Xenopus tropicalis: one gene and its partners. The protein of the gene in region 1 interacts with the protein of each later gene in a pairwise test. Links are inferred from orthologs where the notes say so. Each region holds a gene or a part of one and is shown in the gene's direction. Other genes may lie near its edges.

Region 1 (3,500 bases):
TTTAGGTTATAGGCTTCAGTGAAAAGGTGAGTTTTAAGAGACCGTTTAAAGGCTTGGAGAGTCTGGCAGTGCCTAATGGGATGGGGAAGAGCGTTCCAGAGAATGGGTGCAGCACATGAGAAGTCCTGGATGCGAGAGTGAGAGGAGGTGATGAGTGAGGAGCAGAGAAGGAGGTCATGTGTGGAGCGAAGGTTGCGTTTGGGGGTGTACTTGGTGATTAGGGTGGTTAAATAGAGTGGTACGGCCAATGAGTGCTTTGAAGGTGAGTACAAGAATCTTGAAATGAATCCTGTACGTGAGAGATAGCCAGTGCAAGGATTGTCAGAGAGGGACAGCACTTGTGGAGCGGTAGGAGAGGTGTATGAGTCTGGCAGCACTGTTCATGATGGATTGGAGTGGGGAACAGTGAGTTGCAGTAGTCTAAGCGAGATATGACAAGGGCGTGGATGAGAATTTTGGCCTCATGAGTGAGGAAAGGTCGAATGCGTGCAATGTTTTTGAGGTTGAACCGAGAGAGAGCAGAGTCAAATGTGACTCCTAGACAGCGAGCTTGTGGAACTGGGGTTATATTAATATTTTTGTCAGGCAGGGAAACGGAGTTGGAGGGTGGGAAGATGACCAGATAAGTTTTGTCCATGTTGATTTTTAGGTGGTGAGAGGACATGAATGCAGAAATTGCGGTTAGACAGTTGGAGACACGAGCTAGGAGCGAGGGCAGGTCTGGGGAAGAAAGGTATATTTGGGTATCTGCATATAAATTATAGTGATCAATATCCATTGATTAAACATTTTAATGGTTTTAAGATGATTTCTAAATGTAATATTTCCAAAATAGCACCTAGAGCAATCATCTAAAAGCGTTAGCACCAGCTCTTCATCCAGCTGCATCAGTGTTTCCCAGCCATCCCCAGGCTTATTCTATCACCTTTAGGAGGTGGAGGTTGATTTGCCCCTATGTATTTGAACACTAAAAAACATAGCAGGCAAAGCCCCTTGTTACTAGAAGTTCTACGGAGTAGTAAAGAATTGTCTATCCTGAGACTGAAGCAGTGTGTTTAAACCAAGTAGGCAGAGAGCAGTTGCCAGGCTTTGTTGAACATGTATAAACAACATTTTAGATGGCATGTAAACAGAGAATGAGGTGCAATGAACAATAACTGGATGCTCTAGATCCCTAACTCTTTGTACTTTAGTTCAGACTATTTTACAGTATTAAACTCCACATTCTGACTCAGGAAAGCACAGGGGCACCAATAAAGATTGTTTTGCAGGAGCCAAGAGTCATCCTTTTCTTAAGCTTTGCAAACAAACCGCAGTTAGCTCAAACCCTCATGGGTCTGGTAGCAGGTTGTGGCTATATAGGAGCTATTTAGCTGGCAACAGCACAGGACTTTAACTAAACAGCTTTTATCATCACAGAATGGTCACCTAACCACTTGCCTGCTCTTTATTCATAACATGAGTACAACTAAAATGTATCTCTAACAGATTAAAGATGCTTCATGACTAAACACTTACAGTAATATATGTTTGTGAAAACATTATTTAGTTTTTTAATAATGTGTTTGAAAGAAATCTAATGGATGGCTTTTGTGTTTCTCCTCCAGTGAGTCCGTTTACTTCTGATTCTTTACCTGAATTTGACATTAGAGAGCAAGTGCGGGAAATGAGCTTAGAAATGGCTGAAAAAACAGAAAAATATCGCAAGTGTAAGCAAATGCTGGCTGTAAGTGTAATATTATTTGCTAAAACAATACCTTTTTTATATTCTGAGATTAACTGGCCCCCTGCATTGTTCACGCCACACATTCAGGCTTTAATCCCCTGTATTGTTCACACCTGCAATTCCCTTTATTATTCACACCTGTACCACTCTGTATTGTTCACACCTATGAGCCCATGAATTGTACTCACCTGTAAGACCTCAGACTGTAGGCTCCCACATTGTTCACACTTCATACAAACTGTAGGAGCAGTGGTGGTATTGTGTCACCATATGAACTTCAGTACAAACTGTTGATGTTGGAGTGATCATGATTAATTACTTACATAAACATGATAGGTTTCCCGGTCTCCTTCCATACTCTGCCTGCCCTGCTCTACCCTGCCTGTTTCATACTTTACCTGCCCTATGTATGCCATACTCTGCCAGCCCTACCCAGCCTGTGTGTGCCATACTCTGCCTGCCCAATGCTGCCTGTGTGTGCCATACTCTGCCTGCCCTATGCTGCCTGTGTGCCATACTCTGCCTGTCCTACACTGCCTGTGTGTGCCATACTCTGCCTGCCCTACGCTGCCTGTGTGTGCCATACTCTGCCTGCCCTACGCTGCCTGTGTGCCATATTCTTCCTGCCCTACGCTGCCTGTGTGTGCCATACTCTGCCTGCCCTACCCTGCCTGTGTGTGCCATACTCTGCCTGCCCTATGCTGCCTGTGTGTGCCTTACTCTGCCTGCCCTACGCTGCTTGTGTGCCATACTCTGCCTGCCCTACCCTGCCTGTGTGTGCCATACTCTGCCTGCCCTACCCTGCCTATGTGTGCCATACTCTGCCTGCCCTACCCTGCCTGTGTGTGCCATACTCTGCCTGCCCTACCCTGCCTGTGTGTGCCATACTCTGCCTGCCCTACCCTGCCTGTGTGTGCCATACTCTGCCTGCCCTACCCTGCCTGTGTGTGCCATACTCTGCCTGCCCTACCCTACCTGTGTGTGCCATACTCTGCCTGCCCTACCCTTCCTGTGTGTGCCCTACCCTGCCTGCCCTACCCTGCCTGTGTGTGCCATACTCTGCCTGCCCTACCCTGCCTGTGTGTGCCATACTCTGCCTGCCCTATGCTGCCTGTGTGTGCCTTACTCTGCCTGCCCTACGCTGCCTGTGTGCCATACTCTGCCTGCCCTACCCTACCTGTGTGTGCCATACTCTGCCTGCCCTACCCTACCTGTGTGTGCCTTACTCTGCCGGCCCTACGCTGCCTGTGTGCCATACTCTGCCTGCCCTACGCTGCCTGTGTGTGCCATACTCTACCTGCCCTACCCTGCCTGTGTGTGCCATACTCTGCCTGCCCTATGCTGCCTGTGTGTGCCATACTCTGCCTGCCCTACCCTGCCTGCCCTACCCTGCCTGTGTGTGCCATACTCTGCCTGCCCTACCCTGCCTGCCCTACCCTGCCTGTGTGTGCCATACTCTGCCTGCCCTACCCTGCCTGTGTGTGCCATACTCTGTCTGCCCTACGCTGCCTCTGTGTGCCATACCCTGCCTGCCCTACCCTGCCTGTGTGTGCCATACTCTGCTTTGAATAACATATTTTTCTATTCAGATCCATTCCTATTCAGATTACAGTCTCTCATTCAAACCACTGCATGAGTGCTAAAATTAATTGCAGTGCAATTGTCTATCTCACTCTACATCGTAATAAAAGTTAGAGGGGCTGTTCACCTTTGAGTTAACTTTCATTATGATTTAGAGAATAATATTCTAAGACAATATGCAATTGGTCTTCAT
Region 2 (4,291 bases), on another chromosome or scaffold:
GGGAAGGTGAAACTGCCCAGCACACAAATAAACACAGCAGCCTCTTCTGCCTGATAAAAGCCAGAGCCCCCTCAGCCCCTGACCCACTGAGCAGGAGAGGAATGCAGCCAAAGCCAATAGTTAACCCTTGCCTGTCACAAATGCTCCTCCCAGGACAATTAAACATCAAGGTAAGGCTGTGAGCTTGAGTGTAGCAGGGGAGATTGAAGAGTTAAGGGGGCGGGGCTTTATTCCCGGAGCAGAGCAGGCACAGCAATCAATTAAATGGCAATGCTGAGAAGCGGGACATCTAACAGTGAATCCGGGACAGCGGGAAGTGCCATAAATATCGGGACAGTCCCCCTGAAAGCTGGGAGGTATGCACCCATGTTATTCAACATAAACATTTACAGGTTGCACCCCCAACTGTCCCTTTGGGCACCCATAAGTTCTCCCAAAATGTCTCACTGTTCAAAGCACACACATTTGGTTGCATTTTACGCTACTTTATTATTATTATTTTCATTCTGGAGTAATCGGTGCAGTTTCCCAACCAATCAACTAGTCATCTCTCGGTAACCCCTGCATCTTGCGCCCTTATAACATATAGCGGTTCCCTCTTAAAATCGTGCTGAAATAGCTGCGACCACTTCTTTTGCGACTACGATCCCTCATCCCGCACTACCATTGCGAATGACCCAGCACAACACAGAGCAAGCACAGCGAACTGCCAACTGTCACATGATCTCCCAGCCTGCTCATGTGACTAAACACTTTCATTATGAAGGAACACTTTCGCTGGGCAGGAATGTGATGACTGGCGATGGATAAGCCAATCAAATAATGAGATAGTGACAATAGGCGTGGCCTTCCTTGGAGGACGGTGTGGGCGCTTTGAAAACCCGGAAGTGTATGGAATTTATTCTTTGCCACTGTACCACGATAGAATCTTGTCGGTACCTGTGCTGAAAAGGTGGGTGAAATGTGAATTGATATACCGGAAGTGCTTCCTATTTCATATTGTACTTGTGCCATTAGTGTTGTTGCTAGTGGCACTCACTGAGTGTGTATTACGGAATGACTAAAGTGAATTCTTAAAGAGAGCAGTTGCATACCTCCCAACCGTCCTGCTTTCAGGGGGACTGTCCCGATATTTATGGCACTTCCCGCTGTCCCGGATTCACTGTTAGATGTCCCGCTTTTTAGCATTGCCATTTAATTGATTGCTGTGCCTGCTCTGCTCTGGGGAATAAAGCCCGCCCCCTTAACTCTTCAATCTCCCCTGCTACACTCAAGCTCACAGCCTTACCTTGATGTTTAATCGTCCTGGGAGGAGCATTTGTGACAGGCAAGGGTTAACTATTGGCTTTGGCTGCATTCCTCTCCTGCTCAGTGGGTCAGGGGCTGAGGGGGCTCTGTCTTTTATCAGGCAGAAGAGGCTGCTGTGTTTATTTGTGTGCTGGGCAGTTTCACCTTCCCACCCCTAACATATATCTCTCACTCCTGGGAATCTCTGGCAGAGCACAGCATGCAGGGGAAGGTATCGCTCATTCATAAAATATAGCAGACATTTTAAAGGGGCCCTTATAAGTCTGAGAACCTTAGGCCTTGTTAATATGGCAAGAAATCATACCGCCCAACTGGCCCGCTTTCCGTGGGACAGTCCCGGTTTTGGTAGCGCATCCCGCTGTCCCGGATAGTTCCATGAATGTCTCGCATTTCCGTAATGCGGGACATTCATGGAACTATCCCTGACAGCGGGATGCGCTGGCTGTAGTCAGGCGTTCTTCTTCTGCAGAGGGTCCTCTCTATATGCGGCTCCTTGTTCGGCGGTGCCAGGCCCTTTTATAAGGTTGCGCCCATGCCCTTATAAAAGGGCCTGGCTCCGCCGAACAAGGAGCCGCATATACAGGTCCTTTTCAAAAAATTAGCATATTGTGATAAAGTTCATTATTTTCTGTAATGTACTGATAAACATTAGACTTTCATATATTTTAGATTCATTACACACAACTGAAGTAGTTCAAGCCTTTTCTTGTTTTAATATTGATGATTGTGGCATACAGCTCATGAAAACCCAAAATTCCTATCTCAAAAAATTAGCATATTTCATCCGCCCAATAAAAGAAAAGTGTTTTTAATACAAAAAAAGTCAACCTTTAAATAATTATGTTCAGTTATGCACTCAGTACTTGGTCGGGAATCCTTTTGCAGAAATGACTGCTTCAATGAAGCGTGGCATGGAGGCAATCAGCCTGTGGCACTGCTCAGGTGTTATGGAGGCCCAGGATGCTTCAATAGCGGCCTTAAGCTCATCCAGAGTGTTGGGTCTTGTGTCTCTCAACTTTCTCTTCACAATATCCCACAGATTCTCTATGGGGTTTAGGTCAGGAGAGTTGGCAGGCCAATTGAGCACAGTAATACCATGGTCAGTAAACCATTTACCAGTGGTTTTGGCACTGTGAGCAGGTGCCAGGTCATGCTGAAAAATGAAATCTTCATCTCCATAAAGCTTTTCAGCAGATGGAAGCATGAAGTGCTCCAAAATCTCCTGATAGCTAGCTGCATTGACCCTGCCCTTGATAAAACACAGTGGACCAACACCAGCAGCTGACATGGCACCCCAGACCATCACTGACTGTGGGTACTTGACACTGGACTTCAGGCATTTTGGCATTTCCCTCTCCCCAGTCTTCCTCCAGACTCTGGCACCTTGATTTCCGAATGACATACTTTGGACCACTGAGCAACAGTCCAGTGCTGCTTCTCTGTAGCCCAGGTCAGGCGCTTCTGCCGCTGTTTCTGGTTCAAAAGTGGCTTGACCTGGGGAATGCAGCACCTGTAGCCCATTTCCTGCACACGCCTGTACACGGTGGCTCTGGATGTTTCTACTCCAGACTCAGTCCACTGCTTCCGCAGGTCCCCCAAGGTCAGGAATCGGTCCTTCTCCACAATCTTCCTCAGGGCCCAGTCACCTCTTCTCGTTGTGCAGCGTTTTCTGCCACACTTTTTCCTTCCCACAGACTTCCCACTGAGGTGCCTTGATACAGCACTCTGGGAACAGCCTATTTGTTCAGAAATTTCTTTTTGTGTCTTACCCTCTTGCTTGAGGGTGTCAATGATGGCCTTCTGGACAGCAGTCAGGTCGGCAGTCTTACCCATGATTGCGGTTTTGAGTAATGAACCAGGCTGGGAGTTTTTAAAAGCCTCAGGAATCTTTTGCAGGTTTTTAGAGTTAATTTGTTGATTCAGATGATTAGGTTAATAGCTCGTTTAGAGAACCTTTTCATGATATGCTAATTTTTTGAGATAGGAATTTTGGGTTTTCATGAGCTGTATGCCACAATCATCAATATTAAAACAAGAAAAGGCTTGAACTACTTCAGTTGTGTGTAATGAATCTAAAATATATGAAAGTCTAATGTTTATCAGTACATTACAGAAAATAATGAACTTTATCACAATATGCTAATTTTTTGAAAAGGACCTGTATATAGGAGCCGCTGCAGAAGAAGAAGCAGCAGCAGCAGCATGTATGGAGGCTCTGTGTATTGGGGGGATACTGTGCATGGGGGCTACTGAGTATAGGGGGCAACTGTGTATGGGGGGGGGCACCTGTGTATGGGGGGGCTACTGTGTATGGGGGGCACCTGTGTATGGGGGGCTACTGTGTATGGGGGCACTGTGTATGGGGGGCAAAGCTGATACATAGTTATAACTCACTTATAACTGACTGCCTTCTCTCTATATTTGTATTTTATATGTAGGAGTTGCTATATTGGTTTTCCTTAGGTAGTACAGTATGAGGGTATAGCACATTTGCGTCTGATCCCGCCATTTCATCTATATAAAAGGAGTATTTTTTTTAAAAATGGGGTGTGGTAATTGGGGCGTGGCCAAAAAAATTTGCCGCGCTGCGCGCACCAAATCTTTTTGTCCCTATTTTCATTTTTCAAATGTTGGGAGGTATGCAGTTGCATTCTGTTAGGTTTATGCAGGGCCCCTAACCAAAATATAGAATAGCTGAAAGTCTTACATTTAGACATATGGGGCAGATTTATCAAAATGTGAGTTTAGAGCTTAATCCAAAAAACTCACCCACGTTCTATTTATTCCTGTGGGATTTTTAGAAGCATATTTATCAAATGGTGAATTCTAACTTTCACCCATTGATAAACACGCTTCTAAAAATCCCATAGGAATGAATAGAACGTGGGTGAGTTTTTATGACTCTACCTATAAAAGGCTCACCCTGAGTAAGGAATGTTTGATGTTCTGCAAGCCAAAACAGTCTCAACAGAGGGGGGGAGGG
Region 3 (3,500 bases), on another chromosome or scaffold:
GGTTATACTGTGTCACACTGGCACTGCCCCCCCAGCATTGTACTAATGGGCCCCACGGGAACAGGGGGTTATACTGTGTCACACTGGCACTGCCCCCCAGCATTGTACTAATGGGCCCCACGGTACAGGGGGTTATACTGTGTCACACTGGCACTGCCCCCCAGCATTGTACTAATGGGCCCCACGGGTACAGGGGGTTATACTGTGTCACACTGGCACTGCCCCCCCCAGCATTGTACTAATGGGCCCCACGGGTACAGGGGGTTATACTGTGTCACACTGGCACTGCCCCCCAGCATTGTACTAATGGGCCCCACGGGTACAGGGGGTTATACTGTGTCACACTGGCACTGCCCCCCCAGCATTGTACTAATGGGCCCCACGGGTACAGGGGTTATACTGTGTCACACTGGCACTGCCCCCCAGCATTGTACTAATGGGCCCCACAGGTACAGGGGTTATACTGTGTCACACTGGCACTGCCCCCAGCATTGTACTAATGGGCCCCACAGGGTACAGGGGGTTATACTGTGTCACACTGGCACTGCCCCCCCAGCATTGTACTAATGGGCCCCACGGGTACAGGGGGTTATACTGTGTCACACTGGCACTGCCCCCCCAGCATTGTACTAATGGGCCCCACAGGTACAGGGGTTATACTGTGTCACACTGGCACTGCCCCCCAGCATTGTACTAATGGGCCCCACAGGTACAGGGGTTATACTGTGTCACACTGGCACTGCCCCCCAGCATTGTACTAATGGGCCCCACGGTACAGGGGGTTATACTGTGTCACACTGGCACTGCCCCCCAGCATTGTACTAATGGGCCCCACGGGTACAGGGGGTTATACTGTGTCACACTGGCACTGCCCCCCAGCATTGTACTAATGGGCCCCACGGGTACAGGGGGTTATACTGTGTCACACTGGCACTGCCCCCCCAGCATTGTACTAATGGGCCCCACGGGTACAGGGGGTTATACTGTGTCACACTGGCACTGCCCCCCAGCATTGTACTAATGGGCCCCACGGGTACAGGGGGTTATACTGTGTCACACTGGCACTGCCCCCCCAGCATTGTACTAATGGGCCCCACGGGTACAGGGGGTTATACTGTGTCACACTGGCACTGCCCCCCCAGCATTGTACTAATGGGCCCCACGGGTACAGGGGGTTATACTGTGTCACACTGGCACTGCCCCCAGCATTGTACTAATGGGCCCCACGGGTACAGGGGGTTATACTGTGTCACACTGGCACTGCCCCCCCAGCATTGTACTAATGGGCCCCACGGGTACAGGGGTTATACTGGTCACACTGGCACTGCCCCCCAGCATGTGTACTAATGGGCCCCACGGTACAGGGGTTATACTGTGTCACACTGGCACTGCCCCCCAGCATTGTACTAATGGGCCCCACGGGTACAGGGGGTTATACTGTGTCACACTGGCACTGCCCCCCCAGCATTGTACTAATGGGCCCCACGGGAACAGGGGGTTATACTATGCCAGCCTGGCACCTTTTAGGGTAGAAGCAAGAGATGGAAAGGGTAAAGACACTCTGCCCATGGGAAGGAATGATACTCAGAAGCTCACAATCTATGAGGAATAGGACCCCCCCCTCCCCATGTTGCAACAGGCACATTTCCCTTCCTGATCCCCTTAGTACAAATAGTAGTGGGGATAGGGCACAGCCACTGTGGCAGTTACTGATGGGGGGGTTCTTTGTTGCCCCAGGAGAGTGAATTTTCAGACGCGGACCTGACTGCGGCCGGGGACACGGAGGATGGAGAGAACGCCCCGGTGTATTGTATCTGCCGAAAGCCGGATATCAACTGCTTCATGATGTGAGAAATACACGTGTGTGATTGGGGGGGGGGTCATTCCATAGCAACATGCACCCCTCATCTAGCCAGGGGGGGCGTTAATGCCACTAACAGCCCATATAATGCCCCTAAGCTGACACCGTGCCCACTGCAGCCTGATCTCTATCCTGGTTTGTCTCTCGGCAGCGGCTGTGACAACTGTAACGAATGGTTCCACGGGCACTGCATCAACATCACCGAGAAGATGGCAAAGGCCATACGAGAGTGGTACTGCGTGCAATGCCGAGGTAAGCACCAAGGGGCATTATGGCAGGGGCGGGGGGTGTGGGAGGCAGTTCCGGTGGGGGTTAGAGGCCGGTAGGGCGGGGGATGTGGGGGGCAGTTCCGGTGGGGGTTAGAGGCCGGTAGGGGCGGGGGATGTGTGGGGGCAGTTCCGGTGGGGGGTTAGAGGCCGGTAGGGGCGGGGGTGTGGGAGGCAGTTCCGGGTGGGGGTTAGAGGCCGTAGGGGCGGGGGATGTGGGGGCAGTTCCGGTGGGGGTTAGAGGCCGGTAGGGGCGGGGATGTGGGGCAGTTCCGGTGGGGGTTAGAGGCCGGTAGGGGCGGGGGATGTGGGGGGCAGTTCCGGTGGGGGTTAGAGGGCTCGGTAGGGGGCGGGGGATGTGGGGGCAGTTCCGGTGGGGGTTAGAGGCCGGTAGGGGCGGGGGATGTGGGGGCAGTTCCGGTGGGGATTAGAGGGCCGGTAGGGGCGGGGGATGTGGGGGGCAGTTCCGGTGGGGGGTTAGAGGCCGGTAAGGTGCGGGGGATGTGGGGGGCAGTTCCGGTGGGGGTTAGAGGCCGGTAGGGGCGGGGGATGTGGGGGGCAGTTCCGGTGGGGGGTTAAGAGGGCCGGTAGGGCGGGGGATGTGGGGGGCAGTTCCGGTGGGGTTAGAGGCCGGTAGGGGCGGGGGATGTGGGGGGCAATTTCCGGTGGGGTTAGAGGCCGGTAGGGGCGGGGGATGTGGGGGCAGTTCCGGTGGGGGTTAGAGGCCGGTAGGGGCGGGGGATGTGGGGGGCAGTTCCGGTGGGGTTAGAGGCCGGTAGGGGCGGGGGATGTGGGGGCAGTTCCGGTGGGGGTTAGAGGCCGGTAGGGGCGGGGGATGTGGGGGGCAGTTCCGGTGGGGGTTAGAGGCCGGTAGGGGCGGGGGATGTGGGGGGCAGTTCCGGTGGGGTTAGAGGCCGGTAGGGGCGGGGGATGTGGGGGGCAGTTCCGGTGGGGGTTAGAGGCCGGTAGGGGCGGGGGATGTGGGGGGCAGTTCCGGTGGGGGTTAGAGGCCGGTAGGGGCGGGGGATGTGGGGGGCAGTTCCGGTGGGGGTTAGAGGCCGGTAGGGGCGGGGGGATGTGGGGGGCAGTTCCGGTGGGGTTAGAGGCCGGTAGGGGCGGGGGATGTGTGGGGCAGTTTCCCGGTGGGGTTAGAGGCCGGTAGGGGCGGGGGATGTGGGGGGCAGTTCCGGTGGGGGTTAGAGGCCGGTAGGGGCGGGGGATGTGGGGGGCAGTTCCGGTGGGGGTTAGAGGCCGGTAGGGGCGGGGGATGTGGGGGGCAGTTCCGGTGGGGGTTAGAGGCAGTAGAAATATATAAAGGTGTGCCTTTTGCCCACGTGCCAGACAAACACCCGCACCTTGAGATCAAATACAGA
Region 4 (4,244 bases), on another chromosome or scaffold:
ACCATCTTCCCCTGACTTCTGACTCCTCCTGTTAGTCAAAACTGATTCAAAAGGGAAGATGCTCTTGCAATATTGTGCCTTTACATAGTATTGAAACTCTTCAGTGACTTATAATATCCCTTTACAATAAGGGGTATTTTTTCTCAATATAAATTAAGTAGGTGAAGGTGAAAAATAATAACCTTAAAAAAATTCACAATTTTTACAGCAGGTGCTGCTCCTAGACACCTTTGTTACGTAAAAATTTTTCAGCTGGGGGAGAGAAGTCCCAGCCAATAAGGCCAGTGCATTGGGGTTATTTGCAAAGGTGATGATAAGAAGGAAACACACAGAAATTACAGGAGAGTTGTGAGTTAGGTTCTAGCACTGCATGGGCTACAGTTCCTGTCAGGTCCAATAGTAGCATAGAGTAGTGAGGGTCAGTATCTGGGTGTTAAGGGGTCAATATAATAAAAGGTGCGAAATTTGCTTTAGGTTAGTGACCCACTGCAACCAATCAGCAGATAGAATTTACTGGTCAGCTATATAAAATCAAGAATCCGACTGGTTGCTATGGGTTAATTGACCCAGATGAACTTTGCATCCTTTATTACATTACCCAATGTATACCAATTCCATTATATACTGCATGCATGTAATATTAATATATTGACTCTAGTGACTAAGGCTGATGTTCCACTGAGCGGTTTAGTCACCTGCAATAGATCTCTGCTATCGCAGGCAACTAACTGTTCCAAAATGCATTTCCACTGGCAACAATAGGAGTTGCTTGTGAAAAGCCCTTCACATGGCTTTGGTATTCCAAAGTCATACAAAGTTTCCTCCAGCAGGCATCTTTGTGTGACTTATGAAAACTGAAGCAATGCAAGCAATGGCTTTCTACCGGCGTGGCTGGTGGATAGGCATTTCGTAGAGGGCAGTCACCCGCGATAACACAGATCTATTGTGGGCGACTAAACCACTCCGTGGGACATAAGCCTTTCCCTTTACCTGAAAAGAAACGTGTCAGCCAACCAATGACATAGCACCTACGTTTACAAGAAAAATGCATTCCCCAACAATGCAATTTTTTTACAAACAGCCCATAACCTGGACAACAGGGAAAGAGCTAAATTGATATCCTAGACCAGTGTTAATACAAAATGGTAAAAATCTGTTGATACAAAAGCAAGAAAATTTTACTCATTTCCAGTAAAGCAGCTACTATGTTACCTAATGGGCTAATTATAACCATAAGTTGTACCATTCCTTGGGTCTATGAAAAGCAAAATGCGTGTTTAGGCAAGCCAAAAGCTGCAGCCTGCAATAAAGCCGCGCAAAATGAAAGTGCAGGTAGGGGGCGCTGCTCAGCAGGAATGCGCTTTCGTATCTGCGTAGAGTGAAAAAACACAACAAGGAAGTAGATAGAAGCGGAAGTGGAATCATCTCCCACAACAACACAGAGAAAATACAGATCGAGCAAGAGACGTGAACCCGGGGCAATGAATAATAAAGGCAAGTAATGGCCCCTCCGGAGCTCAGCGGCAACTTCACTGTGCTTTGCGCTTGCTAGGGCTGTTTGTCCTGATCAGGATGCACCTTGGGATTGAGACTGCGACCTGGCGGAGCTGCTGCTGCTGCAAGGCGTTATGATGTCACTGATACCAGTGATTTGGGGCCCTGCTGGGACTTACTCTATAACCGAGTCCCTCTGCTTATTATTATTAGGAAGTATATGGTTTGGGTGGGTATATTCTAGGGGCGGGCTCTATTAGTCACTGAGCGAGTGAATATATATATATAAATATTAGGAATTCGGACGTATTATAGAATACGTTTATACCTTGGTAACCAGCTCCGGCTCCGTCCTGCTTGTGTGCGCACCGCTCTGACCGTGTAAGGCAGGGATTGTGTAACTCCTTGTGTATGTGCCTCGCTAAGGAACATCGGACGTGTCATTTGCCTTCCATTCCAGCGCTTTATAAAGGATTTAGTGGCAAATGGATCACTAAGTAGGCCAGTCGGCAACTATAGTACCATAGTTACATAGGGTTGAAAAAACACCAGAGTCCATCAAGTCCAACCCATCCAAGTAAATCCAGCACTTACAACCTATATTTACCAATCTATCATCAACCATGCCAGGCTTCAGGCTGATGGTATTTGTGCATGGCACTCTTGAATTAACAAGAACTCTGCTACTGAAGAGCAGTAATCCAGTAACAAAGTACATTTGTAGTAGAGTTTAGTACTGCACTGGAAACATTGTCTAATCAGACTTGGACTGGGATTTAAACCAGGCCCTGGCTTTTTAAATACACAGAGGCCCAAACAGCCCCCCTACACAACCCCCAATAAATAGTGCCTGTCTATATCAGTGATCCCCAGAGGCTCACATACAGCATGTTGCTCCCCATCCCCTTCCCTGTTGCTTCCAGTGGCATCAAAGCAGGTGCATATTTTTGGATTGAAGTCAAATTTGGATTGCATAAAAAAACAGAGCCTCCTGTAGGTTGCCAGTCCACATAGAGACTACCAAATAGCCATAGTGCTTGTGTTGCTCCCCTACTCTTTTTATATTTGAATGTGGCTCACTTTTAAAAAAGGCTGGGGACTCCTGGTCTATGGTATCTTACAGCAGCCCCTCTGGCATTTGCCAGAATCACAGATTGTCATTGTGGAACTGTGCCCAATTTAATGCTGCTGCACACCTGTGCATGGACAAATATCAGCCACTCCATATCGCTTCACTGCTTGGGGTGTTGAGCTTCCTTCTCCTTCAGAATAGCTTCATAAATATACATTTGATAAGGTGCAAAAACAATTTGCAGTTTTAACAAAGAGGAATTCCTCGCCCATTTTAGCAGCAAAAAGAGGAGATTGCATCAAATAAATTATTATATGGATGACTTTATGAAAGAATGTCATAATACTTGTTTAACTTTTTCATTGCAGAGGGGGTTGTTCTCTAATGATTCTCAAGGTCTTCCCAATGTTTCTGCCTATTCAGAGTGACATTCTTGAGAATCTCATACTTGAGACTTGAAGTTTTACAGTGCTTTTGATTTTATTGTTCTAGTCTAGAACCAAAAATGTTCTGCCTATTTTGAACTTGTTATGGGTAAAGAATAGTATTTTGTCTTTTTATCTTTGATTATTTCTGCTGAGCAAATTAGAGTGCTACTTTGTTCATAACTTTAGGTTAAAGAATAAGTAAACCTTTTTTTTCTATCAGTAAAATTACTCTAAACAGCCTCCAGAATTACCTACCTTTGTCCCAGCATTCTTTCTGACCTGGTTCCTCAGTTAGAAGTTGATAGTTTTTCTTTGCTTCCTTGTGCAGAGTAAAGCCCCGCCCCCACTTCCTGTTCAGTTCTCTCTTCAATTCGACTACCTGTAGTTGACCTGGAGAGCCTTCTGGGCATGCCTGGAGGCAGCAGTACGCATTCACGCTGCACTTCCGCATTCCCCGGTCATCGTCGATCACAGACGGAAAAGGTCTGGTCACCCATGAGCTAGCCATATTCTTAATGAGCTGCAAGTTGGAGTGATATCACCCCCCTCCCAGCAGCTGATCAGCAGAACAATGGGAAGGGAGCAAGATAGCAGCTCCCAGTTGGTATCAGAATAGCACTCAATAGTAAGAAATCCAAGTCCGGGTTGGGCCCCCTCCAGTTACATGGGAGTATGAGAAACAATAGGTTACCTGAAAGCAGTTCTAATGCGTAGCGCTGGCTCCTTCTGAAAGCTCAGACTGAGACACTATGCACTGAGATGGCGCCTACACACCAGAATTACAACTAAAAAAAATACATGTTGATCCAAGAATAAAATTTTAAATGGCAGAGTGAATTATTTGCTAAACAGTGTAATTTAGAAATAAAAAGTACACCACAAAATCTTTAAGCATGAAGTCTAGCATTCTTTAATGATGGCCTCTGAGTGACTGACCTGAAAAGTTCAAATAGTTACTCAGAGGCCAGAATATCATTGAAGGATTTTGGTAACCTTGGTAGGTAAGCAATACAACACAAACATATGCAGACTATAAAGACTATTGGATTCTCTGTGTTTCCTTTAGGCTGATTAAATATTGTTTTCCATCATCTCCCAAATCCCAAGTCAAATTGATTAGATGAGTCTGATTATAAGCCAAATTGAATTTTAATTGGTATATTAATATTTATCTCCAGTTTTCCCAAATTTTGCAGTTGTCAAAATTTCTGTTTGTGTGAAAACTAATTTTTTTCTGTTATGCAATCTTG
Region 5 (2,730 bases), on another chromosome or scaffold:
AGTGTGGATCCAGTTTTGGCGGCGAATATGAAAAGTGGTAACCTAACTGAAGGGAACTGTTATTATAAAAAAACTCCTACTGAGAATTGGAACTGACGTGTGACAAGTAAAATTGTGATATTTATGATTGTACTGGTGTGACAAGAGTTAATAAAGTATTTGGGGATAGACAACAGCTCCCTGCACCTTTACTGGAGGAACTGTGACATAGGAAAGGACTCTTGGTGAGAGGAAGGCAAGTTGTTTTATTACTATGCTAACCAACTTGCACTTCTCCCATGCTCTCAGCATATCACGGTGATTACAGTACTGATTAATTGGCCTTCCAACCACTCAGTAAGTATTCTTTCTCTGCTTTGCCAAACCCGGCAAATCCACTACCATTCAGAATAAAATATGAACTAATAACCCTCACAATTAAAGCACTCCATAACTCTGCCCCACTTTACATCTCTGAACTCCTCTCCAGATACTTGCCAAACCATTTGCTATGCTGCTGTAATGACCTGCTCCTGATAACCTCTCTCATTACTTCCTCGCACCCTTGCATTCAATACTTTTGCAAGAGCTGTACCCCTTCTCTGGAATTCTCTACCATATTTTGTTGAATCTCTGTCTCTGAAAGATTTCTTGAAGGACAAGGAAAGGTTAAACAAAAAAAAAAAAAAAAAGTATAGCCATGGCATGTAGATATACTATGAAGGATTTCTCTTTAGGAGTTATTCAGAATGATTATTCACTTTTAAAATAAGTTAAAAGATGCTGTGGAAAGTTTATCTTCTGTACCAGAAATGAGCTGATTCAGGGTACATGCATGCACATTTAATCTCTCAGAAGCTATGGGCAGGTGCAGAAATGTATATTATTTTCCTATTCTATTCAGGGTGTCCTAATGCCTCCTGCTTTTAGAATGTAAGCTCCTTTGGGCAGGGCCCTCTTTACCCTTCATATTTGCTTTTGTATGTTAAATATAAACACCCATTTATTATACAGAATGTGAAGGCATTTTATAACATAACCACTATATTACTGTTACCATACTACTAATGATTCTTATTGGGTACAGAAAAAAATCTTTAAATGTGTGTTTTTTCTTTGTGCAGGAATCGCATGAACTTATCTGCTACACAAGCATTTTACCTTCTTGTGAATAACAAGAGCCTTGCCAGCATGTCACTTACGATGGCTGAGCTTTATAGGGACCATAAGGATGAAGATGGTTTCCTATATATGACATATGCATCTCAAGAGATGTTTGGTTGAATGCATATCACAAAAAAACGAGGACAATCTTTGTACTAAGAGGGGCCCAGATATGTACATGTGTAAATTCTAGACCCTAGTATTATATTATTATTTAAATTTACACCTTAAACATTTTTGGTCATTATTATAACATGGGCTGGAACTTAGAAGTATATGGCTATAGTGTACAATACTTTTTATTGAAATGTTTTCACTTAAAGGAACCTTTTATGTATGTTAAATATTTATTGAGCATCCTTTTAGAAAAGTCAAAAGATAATGCTTTTGTAAATTTATTGTAATAAAGGATTTAAAATATTTTATTTTTACAGAATTTTTTTGCAGATTCTATGTAGTACTAAACACAACTGTTTTCTCTAACTTAGAACAATTTTGTTTTTAGATAGACTTCCCCTTCACATGAAATAGTATTTGGGGTTATTGTGTATAACAGACTTTGCTCTGCACAGTATAAGTCAGTAGCTGCAGAAGCATAAAGTACTCTCTGCATAGAAAGGGCATTGACGGAATGCTTTTGCCTCTATATATTTCTTGTAAGACCTGGGCTTGGGTATGTATTGCAGCTTTGGGTACCACATCAAAATGTATATGTATTAATAACATGCAGCTAAAATTAATGGGCACGTGCTATTAGCAGAGAAGAGTTTGTTTTCTGTGGGGAAGAAGAATTTCTAAGAAGACACTTTTTTTAACACTGAAAAGAAAAAAAGAAGCCATCCCTTCTTTCACCTGAAGCAGTACAAATGGTTATTCACTGTTAGGACAGGGTGGGCTGTAAGGTTCCTAGGTTCTTTCTGGCTGTTTTTTTGTTTTTTTTTTTACTTCTGTATTTCCAATGTGCAATAGTGTATTTGTGTTTATGAAAAAACTCTGGCCAATCAAGAGGTTTTTGTTTTACATATATCACAAGAGGTTACTGCACAAAATCAGTCAGCCTAATGCTAAATAAAATCTCTTCATAAAATAACTACTGCCTTAATTTAACTGTGGAGGGTGTCAAAAATAGTTATTGTTAATTTACTGATTTGCCTATTTACCAATTAATCCAACACCTGGATATACTGCCTGATTATGTATGTATGTATGTGGGATAGCTTGGTTTGTATTGGCTATAAACAGGAACAGATCATAGTTAAATCTGGTTGAAAAAAAAACCCAAGTTCAAATCTTTCCATCGAACCCCAGCGCGCACACCTATACTGACCTATCTATACACTTGCATACATAAACTACAGTATATATACCAACATTAATACTAATTGCACATTTTAGTTTCCCAATAGCCTTGGATATTTTTGTTCAAGAACTCACCCAAGCCCTCCTTAAAAGCATTAAAAGAATCTGCCATCACATCACTAGGAAGGGCATTTCACAACCTCACCGTGAAAAACCACCTACGCTGCTTCAAATGGAAGTTCCGTTCCTCTAATATAAAGGGGTGATCTCTGGTGCACTGGTCCTTTT
Region 6 (4,037 bases), on another chromosome or scaffold:
TTGTCTCTATGTGTGTTTTAGCAGAGGCAATTCTCAGTATTGTCTATGGAAGAGTATTTTCTGATGTAGCCATGACAAGTAGCTGCTACTAAGTAGCTGTGTGTGTTTGCCCTTAGGGTGAAGATACATGGAGCTACTAGTAGCAGCTGCTTTTTCATGGCTACTAAATTCCAAAAAATACCCTGCCATAGACAATAGACAATACTGAGAATTGCCTCTGTTAAAAGACATGCTGAGACTGTTATCAGTAAATGATTAGCATTGTCTATTTTAGTAGCCACTACAAGTAGCAGCTACTAGTAGCTCCATGTGTCTTCACCCTTAGGGCTGTGACAGACAGGGAGATTAGTCGCCGCACATCAAATCTCCCTTGTTGCGGGTGACTAATCTACCGAAATGCCATCCCACCGGCTAGATTCTAAATCGGCGGTGGGATGGCATGTGTGGCACCGCGATTTGCGGAGATCGTGGAAGTTGCCTTGAGAGGAAACTTCCGCGACTTCGGCAAATCGCGGCGCTGCGTATGCCATCCCACTGGTGATTTACATTGAAGCCGGTGGGATGGCATTTTACGGAGATTAGTCGCCTGTGAAAAGGAAGATTTGTCATGCGGTGACTAATCTCCCCGTGTGTCTCAGCCCTTAGAAGCCACCCAAAAAACAGTATCAAGTGGGACAGCCAATAATTGGCAGGATATTTACAGCTATGCTTATCATTGGAAAATGGTTCATTTTTGGCAACTATATGAAGCCACAACTAACCTAACTAATCCCCCATCATAAGTACCCCTGCACAAAAGTAACTATACAAACACTAAAGTAGATTTACCACCCTACTCTAAATTTGGCACAATGGGAACAAATAAGTTGAAAAAATTAACAAATAAATACTTTTTAACACTTTATTTGAATTTGTATCATATCTTAATATACACACTAGTATGATTACCTCAGCTATTTAGAGACTCTGAGATACAACATAGAAAACGACACTATATTAAGGCAACAATGACATAAATTGTGATTTATTGTGTCATAACTATGCCCTGCATCACCTCAGACGTAAAATCTACTATTTCTCTCTGATACAACCACTGGTAACCCTCAGACAAATGAGATAAGGAAGAATGAATGGGACACCCCATCCCACAATGTGTCACACATTCCCCAACACGTTTTGCATAACTTGTATTGTAAGGTCGCTTGCCGTGTTTACTCACAGCCCGGTAACACCCACTCGTCCCCATGCTGGCGGAAGCGAGGGGTGAGGTGAGCGCTCCCAGCACACAGGCAATTCAGTCTCACTAAAGACTTCGAGGGAACAGGATGGGGAACCTGAGCTGTGTCCCGCAGCCGCATCGCCACATCAGATACTCTCTTAGCAGGAAGAACTCCTGGCAGCAGGGCAAAGAGTAAGTCTATGGAACCCAGTATGCTTCATACTCTCAAACGCTGTTGTATATAAATATACCTGAAAGAACCCGTTTATAGTGGAACAAGTGGAGAATGTATGTTATTTATGGAATGTGTGTATGTGCTCCTGGGATATTCATTTACTAATACTGCAGTAATTCTGTTTAAGAGAGGGAGGCTGCCTGCAGAAAACTGGGCAATGTATATGATACGGTGTACATTGGACTTTGTGTCCCTTGCATATTTTTAGAAGCGGTGGCCATGTGCTTCATTGCTTTGGAAGGAGCCAAGGGGGGTAATGCTTTGGGCATGTGGTGTTTGCAGTGCTGGCAGCTGCCAGGAGAAATACAGGAGGCTGTTTTAGTGATCAGTTTCATAGGTACCCTGATAATATTATTAGATCTCATTATCTAACTGGTTTTCCAGTGCTGCATATAGAAACTAGGTACATGTTTGAGATTTATTATATGGGATGCTTGGGAGCCGTAGTTTCCTGGAGAAGAGGAAGGGCTGTTTCTATAATGTGGAGCACCGTTCCTTGAGTTTACTATAAAACACAAAACATAGAGGACAATATATATCTATAGGACCAGGGTTGTCTTAATAGGATTGTTTGTAACCAAGATGGATTTACAAGGCGTTGTTTTAGAATTACAGAGAAAAAGGATATCAGACAAAAGTAAGATTGTTAGGTTGAATAGGACTCTGTGGAAAATAACATTCCCATATTTCAGAACTCTCAAGATAATTCACCCTAAACCTGTATGTTTATCAAATAAAGCTTGCAGTTATGTGCCTGAGGCATTGGGGGGTGGGATACTAAATGATCTATACTTGCTCTGTGTCCCAAGGAGTAGAATGTGAGATCTTCCTTGCTTTTATTACAACAGATCTATTAGAAATGTAGTTATAGTGGCCATTTGAGTTGGTCTCATAAAGTTTTCTTTTATTTGTGCTACTGCAGAGTTTGTTTTTGTTGAATATAACATACATACCATGAGACCTGGAAGATGTGATTATTTCCTAAGTGACTTACAGTAAAGGGATCCTGCACAGCATGACCTGATCTGGATGAAAAGGTTACTGGGCATTTTGGTGTTAGGGGAGATAACATATTTACCATGTCAAAAGTTTGTAATTGAGTTTCAGGCACAATGAATAGTGGTTTACAGTTAACACCCTAGGGCAGAAGTCCTTCCCCCACCAAGAGATTGTATAATTAATGTAGAGATGGGGGAATAGTTTTCCTTAATTATATTATATTAATACAATCACAGTTAAGCGAAGTCTACATGTTTCCTTGTTGGCTTGGGTGACTGTGCATGGTTTTTATCAAATGTCCACTTGGGACTGTTTCATTTGCGATATCTATGAGACACAATCTGATGGAGGGATGGGTATTTAGAATAAGGAATTTATGGTGTTAACTATTAGTAGGTTTTTCACAGAAATCAAAAGTTGCTTTTTGCACATGTAGATGTCATCAAATACTGAACTACAGCTCTCCTAGGTCTACGATCATCCTCTTGGTGTCAGTTCTAAACATATAGACTGCTTTAGTGTACACTGCAGATCATTTCAATCAGTTGTAGTGGCCAAGAGACAAAACAACAGAAATGGCCACTAGAGGTGCTAATTCCACAACTGGTTATGAAGAACACCATATGCATTTATGCAACATTTTTGTTACATTTTATGTACTTTTCCTGTACATAAAAAATGATGTCATGGAGCTGTCCCATTTTTCTTTTCATGTTTTTCATTTTTTTGTGTGTGTAGTATTGAGCTTTACATACTAATGTATATAAGACATTTATGTTTTTTGCGTTACTGGTCCTCTGTATTCATCTACCAGTGTCACAGAGGTTCTTATGTTTGGTTGATATAAGCAGCAGCATACAATGAGAAAATTAGTTTCCCTTTATAAATGCATAGTAGAAAGATACATTCTTTGTAGAGATGCTCTTGCTTATATAAATAGTCTTTGCAAACTCTGATCTGAAATGGTTCATTTATTTCTCTTTGCTAATGGCATTTAGTTACAAGGCTCTTTTAATTGACTGTGCCCTACTTTCTGAACATGAGTTTCGTGCTGAGACATAGGTGAGGTTTATCTGTGCAGTATTTAATCAGAAGCATGAGACTGCGCAGAAAGACATGGAATTCTGTCCAGCCAGCAGAATATGGCTTGCCCTGGCAGGCACAGAGCCGGAGAGATTTTGGCGTGCCTACTGCTGCTGTGCAGTTCTGGGTTTAAAGTCTTTATAGCAAGCATTGGGTAAATCACATCTCCTCTCCTGCTCAGTTACTTCTACATAGACTGGCATACAATTCCCTGCATCATAGTGACAATCAAAAATCATTAAATGTAGAAAGGGAATAGCTAAAATTTTGTTCAGGGGCTTCTCTATCTAATAAAGCTCAGATTAGCTCATAAATTCACAAACTGTTGTGCTGCCCCCAGGTAACCCAAGGCATTGGTTGTGGGGGCAGTCTGAAGGCTAGTTAGGGTGAATGCTTATTTGCTGTTTTAGATATTCTTGGAATTTCAGCCTGAAGGCCAAGTAGGGAAACATTGGAGCACTGGATATTCCTAGATGGCCGATAGAATTTTAGTGTTGTGTA
Region 7 (4,050 bases), on another chromosome or scaffold:
AGGACAAATAAATCAGTTACTGTTTGTTTCATTAGCAAGAACCTTCTGGTGTCCATTCTTTCCAATTACTTTGAAAACAACATAAGTGAGTTACAGTTATATCCAAGGATATTTCCACTTAGCAAAAGCCCATCTGACGTGTAGGGCCCTATGTACACCATGATCTAAAGCCATTCTAGCCGGCGCTGCCTGTTTTTACAGCCAAATAGGGGTTACACATACATTTATAGTGCAGCTGAGGAACTATACAGAGGCTGACATTTGTGGGCGTGACATTAAGTGGGTGTGGCACAAAACAAAAATTTTGTATTACGTTAACCCCGGATTTCATTTTCAAAATCTGGTCACCTTATCATAATACTTATTCAGGTGTGCGCTCTCTATCTTTCTTTTGCGTCAGGCAAACCGACTTACATCGAAAATAAACAAGCAAGTATATATAAATGACAGTGTCATCTAAGGGGTGGTTACTAAAACATTTATTTTTATTTTAAAGAAACCATGAATAAACTCATTTCCTGTCATTTATAAAAAGATCTGAACTGGAAAAAGTCGCAAAAACCACAGCTTTTTTGACTTTTCGCATAATAACCGCAACTTTTTTGACTTGTTACAAAAATATCAGTGACAAAACCCCCCAAAAACCAGGAAGCAAAGCAAGATCTTTCAGTTGTAAAAGGAACATCTGCCACTGACTTCTGTATATTGAAAGGTTTTAGCAGGAGTGTTTTTCACATTTGGAATTGTCAGTTTTGTCACATAATAAATCTCAGAAACGTTTAGTAAATGCCCACTCAAGTTCCAAAGTTCCCTTGCTCCAATGCTTGGTTAACAAAAAAAAATAAAAACAAGAAACATTCATGATTGCAACATTATTACCCCATTTACACAGGGTTAGTTGTCATCTCTGTGGAGGATAAATAGGAGATGACTTTCATACACAAATATTTCGCATTCAAAATAACCAGAGGAACCTCTAGGGTTAAGTCGCTATGATATTTTTCACGAAGAATAAGCTGATTGCTGCTAAACATTACTGTGCGACTGATCACTACAGTTCAGCATCAGCTTAACCCCTATAACCCCACGGAAAATACGTTTTTGTTTTGCTCCTGTTTTAGCCGACGAAACCCCTCCCATGTGCTTATTATTAACCATAATGGGAGGTACTGGAAACCCCAGGGCGCCCTGACCCGGAAGTGTCGTCATCGGGAGACTCCGCCTTATTGTTATTGTCGTCGCTGTCATCTGTCGGTACCATGAAGTGGATGTTCAAGGAAGACCATTCGCTGGGTGAGAACGGGGAAAGTTCGGGGGGTAGCCCATTACCTTTACTGTACTAATCTGGCAACACTACCTGAAGTTACCTCTGTATACTCTAAAGCGGTCGCTGCTAGCCCACCTTCATCGCCCCCGCCCTATAGGCACAGGCTACACCTCGTAGCGCTGCCCTTCCATCTAGTAGCGACTATTCCCATCCCCCGCAGTTTGTTTGTTGGTACTGACTGTACCCTCCCAGGCTTTGTCCTCTAACCTTATTTTACCATTAGTGTGTTTATCTCTCTGAAAGATAAAAACATATAAACCCTGGCCCTTTTTTTCTCATTAATCAACCGTGATCTCATCAACTTCAGTTTCTCAGTCACATCTATAATAACATTCCCTAGAGCCCATGGAATTGTGCTTTGAGCTCCAAATGCTGCAGTTTTTGTAAAACTCTTGTCATGAGACATCAGATTGTAAATAGGTCCAAGTGGCAGTAATTGCATTGAAATGGTGGTTAGGTCAGTTTGAACAAAAAACAGCAAAATTGCCTCTACACTATTTTATATGGTCACCAAATGGGTGCAGCTATATTCAGTAATGTTTATCAGTATATATCCTATGTGTAATATTTAACAACAAATACCTAACTGCTTACCAAAGGTTATGGTATGTTTGCTCCACCTTGTCACTCATATGCTTGTTTTTGCTTTTAACTTTCCTGACCACACATCCCTTTCTACTCTATATTGTTTTTTTTTACAACCATTGGTACTAAATTACACAACTACTTCCAGCTTTGCTTTACCAGCTCAGCTGTTGGGGGGAATAAAGAAAAATGTATTCTTTTTATTTTACTTGTGGAACACCAAAGAATACCTATAGTGTCCTTGCAAAGGCCTGTCTTAAAAAAACAAAATATGAAAAAGTTTTTCCATAAAGGACTTGAGGATTGGTTTGTTTTTATCTTTGTGCACCATTTGTGTTTAGCATAGCAAGAACCCATACATGTGTTGAGCCTATTATCCAGAATGCTTGTGACTGGGGGTTTTCTGGAAAAGGGGTCTTTCTGTTATTTGGATCTTAATACCTAAAGTCAACTAAAAAATCTTTTAAATATGAAATAAACCCAATATGATATGTTGGGATCAAGCAATCAATCTAAGTGCGGCTCAGTTCTCAAAATAAACTAATAAGTGCTGACCATGAATATTCCATAGCCTGGATGTGTACAACCCTGGGCTAGACATGGGAATCAGATTACCTGATGAAGTGATTGTCCCGTGTATATAAACCCCAGGTCCCAATCTCACAGGCCAGCCGATACAAATTAATTTCAAATAATTTAGGAATAGAGTGCACTCGCAGTTATTTTTGAGTGGCCTGGTTGCATTATTCCCAACCCATAGCTGTAGGGGAAGTGCAAGGATAAGCAGAAACAGCAAGCACACCTGCCACTTGTAAAGAAAAAATCCAATTTTATTTTAACCAATAGAACATCTTTAGTTGGGATCAAGTACAAGGTACTGTTTTATTATCGCAGGGAAAATAGAAATCGTTTTTAAAAAATAAATTATTTGCCTTAAAGGACATGTAAACCCCGCACAAACAGCCTCTTTGAAATCTTTCAATACCTGCCACTCTGGTTGTCCAGAGGTTAATAGTAAGGCTGCAACATCTCCATAAACACTTATATTTCCTTCTCCTCCTGTAATCCACTCAGCCCCCTCCCTCAGGAATTTGCTTTAATTTCTGGCTTGTGGGCATGCTCAGTTGTTCTAAACTCAGATTACTAAACATGCCCTCCAGTCTAGCAACCAGTGAAGAGATGGCATTGCTGGTTCCCATAGAAACTCAGCTCTAGCTGGCTGCTTCAGTTTTTTTCTCCTGAGCTCAGCTTTACCATTACAGTGCTCAAACAAAGCAGAACTTTTATCAGAACCTGTATTCTTGATGAAATGTATGCTGAATAAGGGTCTGTGTCTGCTGTTTGCAGATTTAAATGTAACTCATTATGTATCAGAGGAAAAATGGCCACCGGGTGAAAACTGCTGTTTGCTTTAGGAAAATGTGATGGTGCTGGCAAGTGGAGGGGATACATGCTGTACAAATAATGCCATTTGGGTGGGGGAGACGTGCCCAACTGATGTACATTGTAGGCAAATGTAGGCTTTGCATGTCCTTTAAATAGAGTCTAAAGGAGATTACCGTAATTTGGTACTTTCTAAAGAATGAGTTTGAGGGTAACGGATCCCATAACTTTACTGTAGTTAACACCAATTTACAGTATTTTCCTGTAATATTAATGAACAACACATTAATGTCCCAATCAAGAATGAAACATGTCAGTGTGGAGAGCTGAGTGTCAGTGAACTACCGGTATATGTTCCTGGCTAGAAATAGGTATCTTTGCTGTAAATGTCGCCCACCACATGATCTGCATGTTGATTTCCTGCATACAGAAGGCCCTGAAGCCCGTTCGTAGCCAGCTATAAATAGTACAAAAACAAGTAGCTCATTATATAGATATATTACTCATAAGACATGAATGGGCTGCTGTTGACGGTAAGGAAGTAAACAAAGTGAAAATGATACTGAATACTATAAGCACAAATACTTTTTTTTAAAATAACATTCCTAAATTTTCCTATTTCAGAACACAGGTGTGTGGAGTCCGCAAAAATCAGAGCCAAGTATCCAGATCGGGTTCCGGTAACCTCTTTTATTTTGCTTTTCTTTTTTGAATGATTACCTATTCAGACTGTAATTGTTGTTATGAAAGCTACA

Evidence for each region.
Region 2: the proteins of tax1bp1 (region 1) and lgals8 interact in binary tests that used the Homo sapiens proteins (3 or more experiments, as listed by UniProt). The link is inferred for Xenopus tropicalis from reciprocal best matches to the Homo sapiens genes TAX1BP1 and LGALS8.
Region 3: the proteins of tax1bp1 (region 1) and cxxc1 interact in binary tests that used the Homo sapiens proteins (3 or more experiments, as listed by UniProt). The two-hybrid records come from large-scale screens. The link is inferred for Xenopus tropicalis from reciprocal best matches to the Homo sapiens genes TAX1BP1 and CXXC1.
Region 4: the proteins of tax1bp1 (region 1) and dazap2 interact in binary tests that used the Homo sapiens proteins (3 or more experiments, as listed by UniProt). The two-hybrid records come from large-scale screens. The link is inferred for Xenopus tropicalis from reciprocal best matches to the Homo sapiens genes TAX1BP1 and DAZAP2.
Region 5: the proteins of tax1bp1 (region 1) and map1lc3c interact in binary tests that used the Homo sapiens proteins (3 or more experiments, as listed by UniProt). The link is inferred for Xenopus tropicalis from reciprocal best matches to the Homo sapiens genes TAX1BP1 and MAP1LC3C.
Region 6: the proteins of tax1bp1 (region 1) and plekhn1 interact in binary tests that used the Homo sapiens proteins (3 or more experiments, as listed by UniProt). The two-hybrid records come from large-scale screens. The link is inferred for Xenopus tropicalis from reciprocal best matches to the Homo sapiens genes TAX1BP1 and PLEKHN1.
Region 7: the proteins of tax1bp1 (region 1) and gabarapl2 interact in binary tests that used the Homo sapiens proteins (3 or more experiments, as listed by UniProt). The link is inferred for Xenopus tropicalis from reciprocal best matches to the Homo sapiens genes TAX1BP1 and GABARAPL2.

Annotation. Positions count from the first base shown.
Region 1 is NC_030682.2:42,559,769-42,563,268, forward strand, and holds part of tax1bp1 (tax1-binding protein 1 homolog), read left to right. Parts: intron 1-1,607; coding exon 1,608-1,726; intron 1,727-3,500.
Region 2 is NC_030681.2:41,520,835-41,525,125, reverse strand, and holds the start of lgals8 (galectin-8), read left to right. Parts: upstream 1-1,491; 5' UTR 1,492-1,507; coding exon 1,508-1,519; intron 1,520-4,291.
Region 3 is NC_030684.2:1,159,330-1,162,829, forward strand, and holds part of cxxc1 (CXXC-type zinc finger protein 1), read left to right. Parts: intron 1-1,737; coding exon 1,738-1,847; intron 1,848-2,012; coding exon 2,013-2,113; intron 2,114-3,468; coding exon 3,469-3,500. UniProt on the Homo sapiens protein: Transcriptional activator that exhibits a unique DNA binding specificity for CpG unmethylated motifs with a preference for CpGG.
Region 4 is NC_030678.2:142,300,601-142,304,844, forward strand, and holds the start of dazap2 (DAZ-associated protein 2), read left to right. Parts: upstream 1-1,444; 5' UTR 1,445-1,481; coding exon 1,482-1,494; intron 1,495-4,244. UniProt on the Homo sapiens protein: In unstressed cells, promotes SIAH1-mediated polyubiquitination and degradation of the serine/threonine-protein kinase HIPK2, probably by acting as a loading factor that potentiates complex formation between HIPK2 and ubiquitin ligase SIAH1.
Region 5 is NC_030681.2:57,421,675-57,424,404, reverse strand, and holds the end of map1lc3c (microtubule-associated proteins 1A/1B light chain 3C), read left to right. Parts: intron 1-1,103; coding exon 1,104-1,263; 3' UTR 1,264-2,230; downstream 2,231-2,730.
Region 6 is NC_030683.2:88,900,561-88,904,597, reverse strand, and holds the start of plekhn1 (pleckstrin homology domain-containing family N member 1), read left to right. Parts: upstream 1-1,237; 5' UTR 1,238-1,325; coding exon 1,326-1,411; intron 1,412-4,037. UniProt on the Homo sapiens protein: Controls the stability of the leptin mRNA harboring an AU-rich element (ARE) in its 3' UTR, in cooperation with the RNA stabilizer ELAVL1.
Region 7 is NC_030680.2:64,266,742-64,270,791, forward strand, and holds the start of gabarapl2 (gamma-aminobutyric acid receptor-associated protein-like 2), read left to right. Parts: upstream 1-1,250; 5' UTR 1,251-1,259; coding exon 1,260-1,293; intron 1,294-3,919; coding exon 3,920-3,975; intron 3,976-4,050. UniProt on the Homo sapiens protein: Ubiquitin-like modifier involved in intra-Golgi traffic. Modulates intra-Golgi transport through coupling between NSF activity and SNAREs activation. It first stimulates the ATPase activity of NSF which in turn stimulates the association with GOSR1.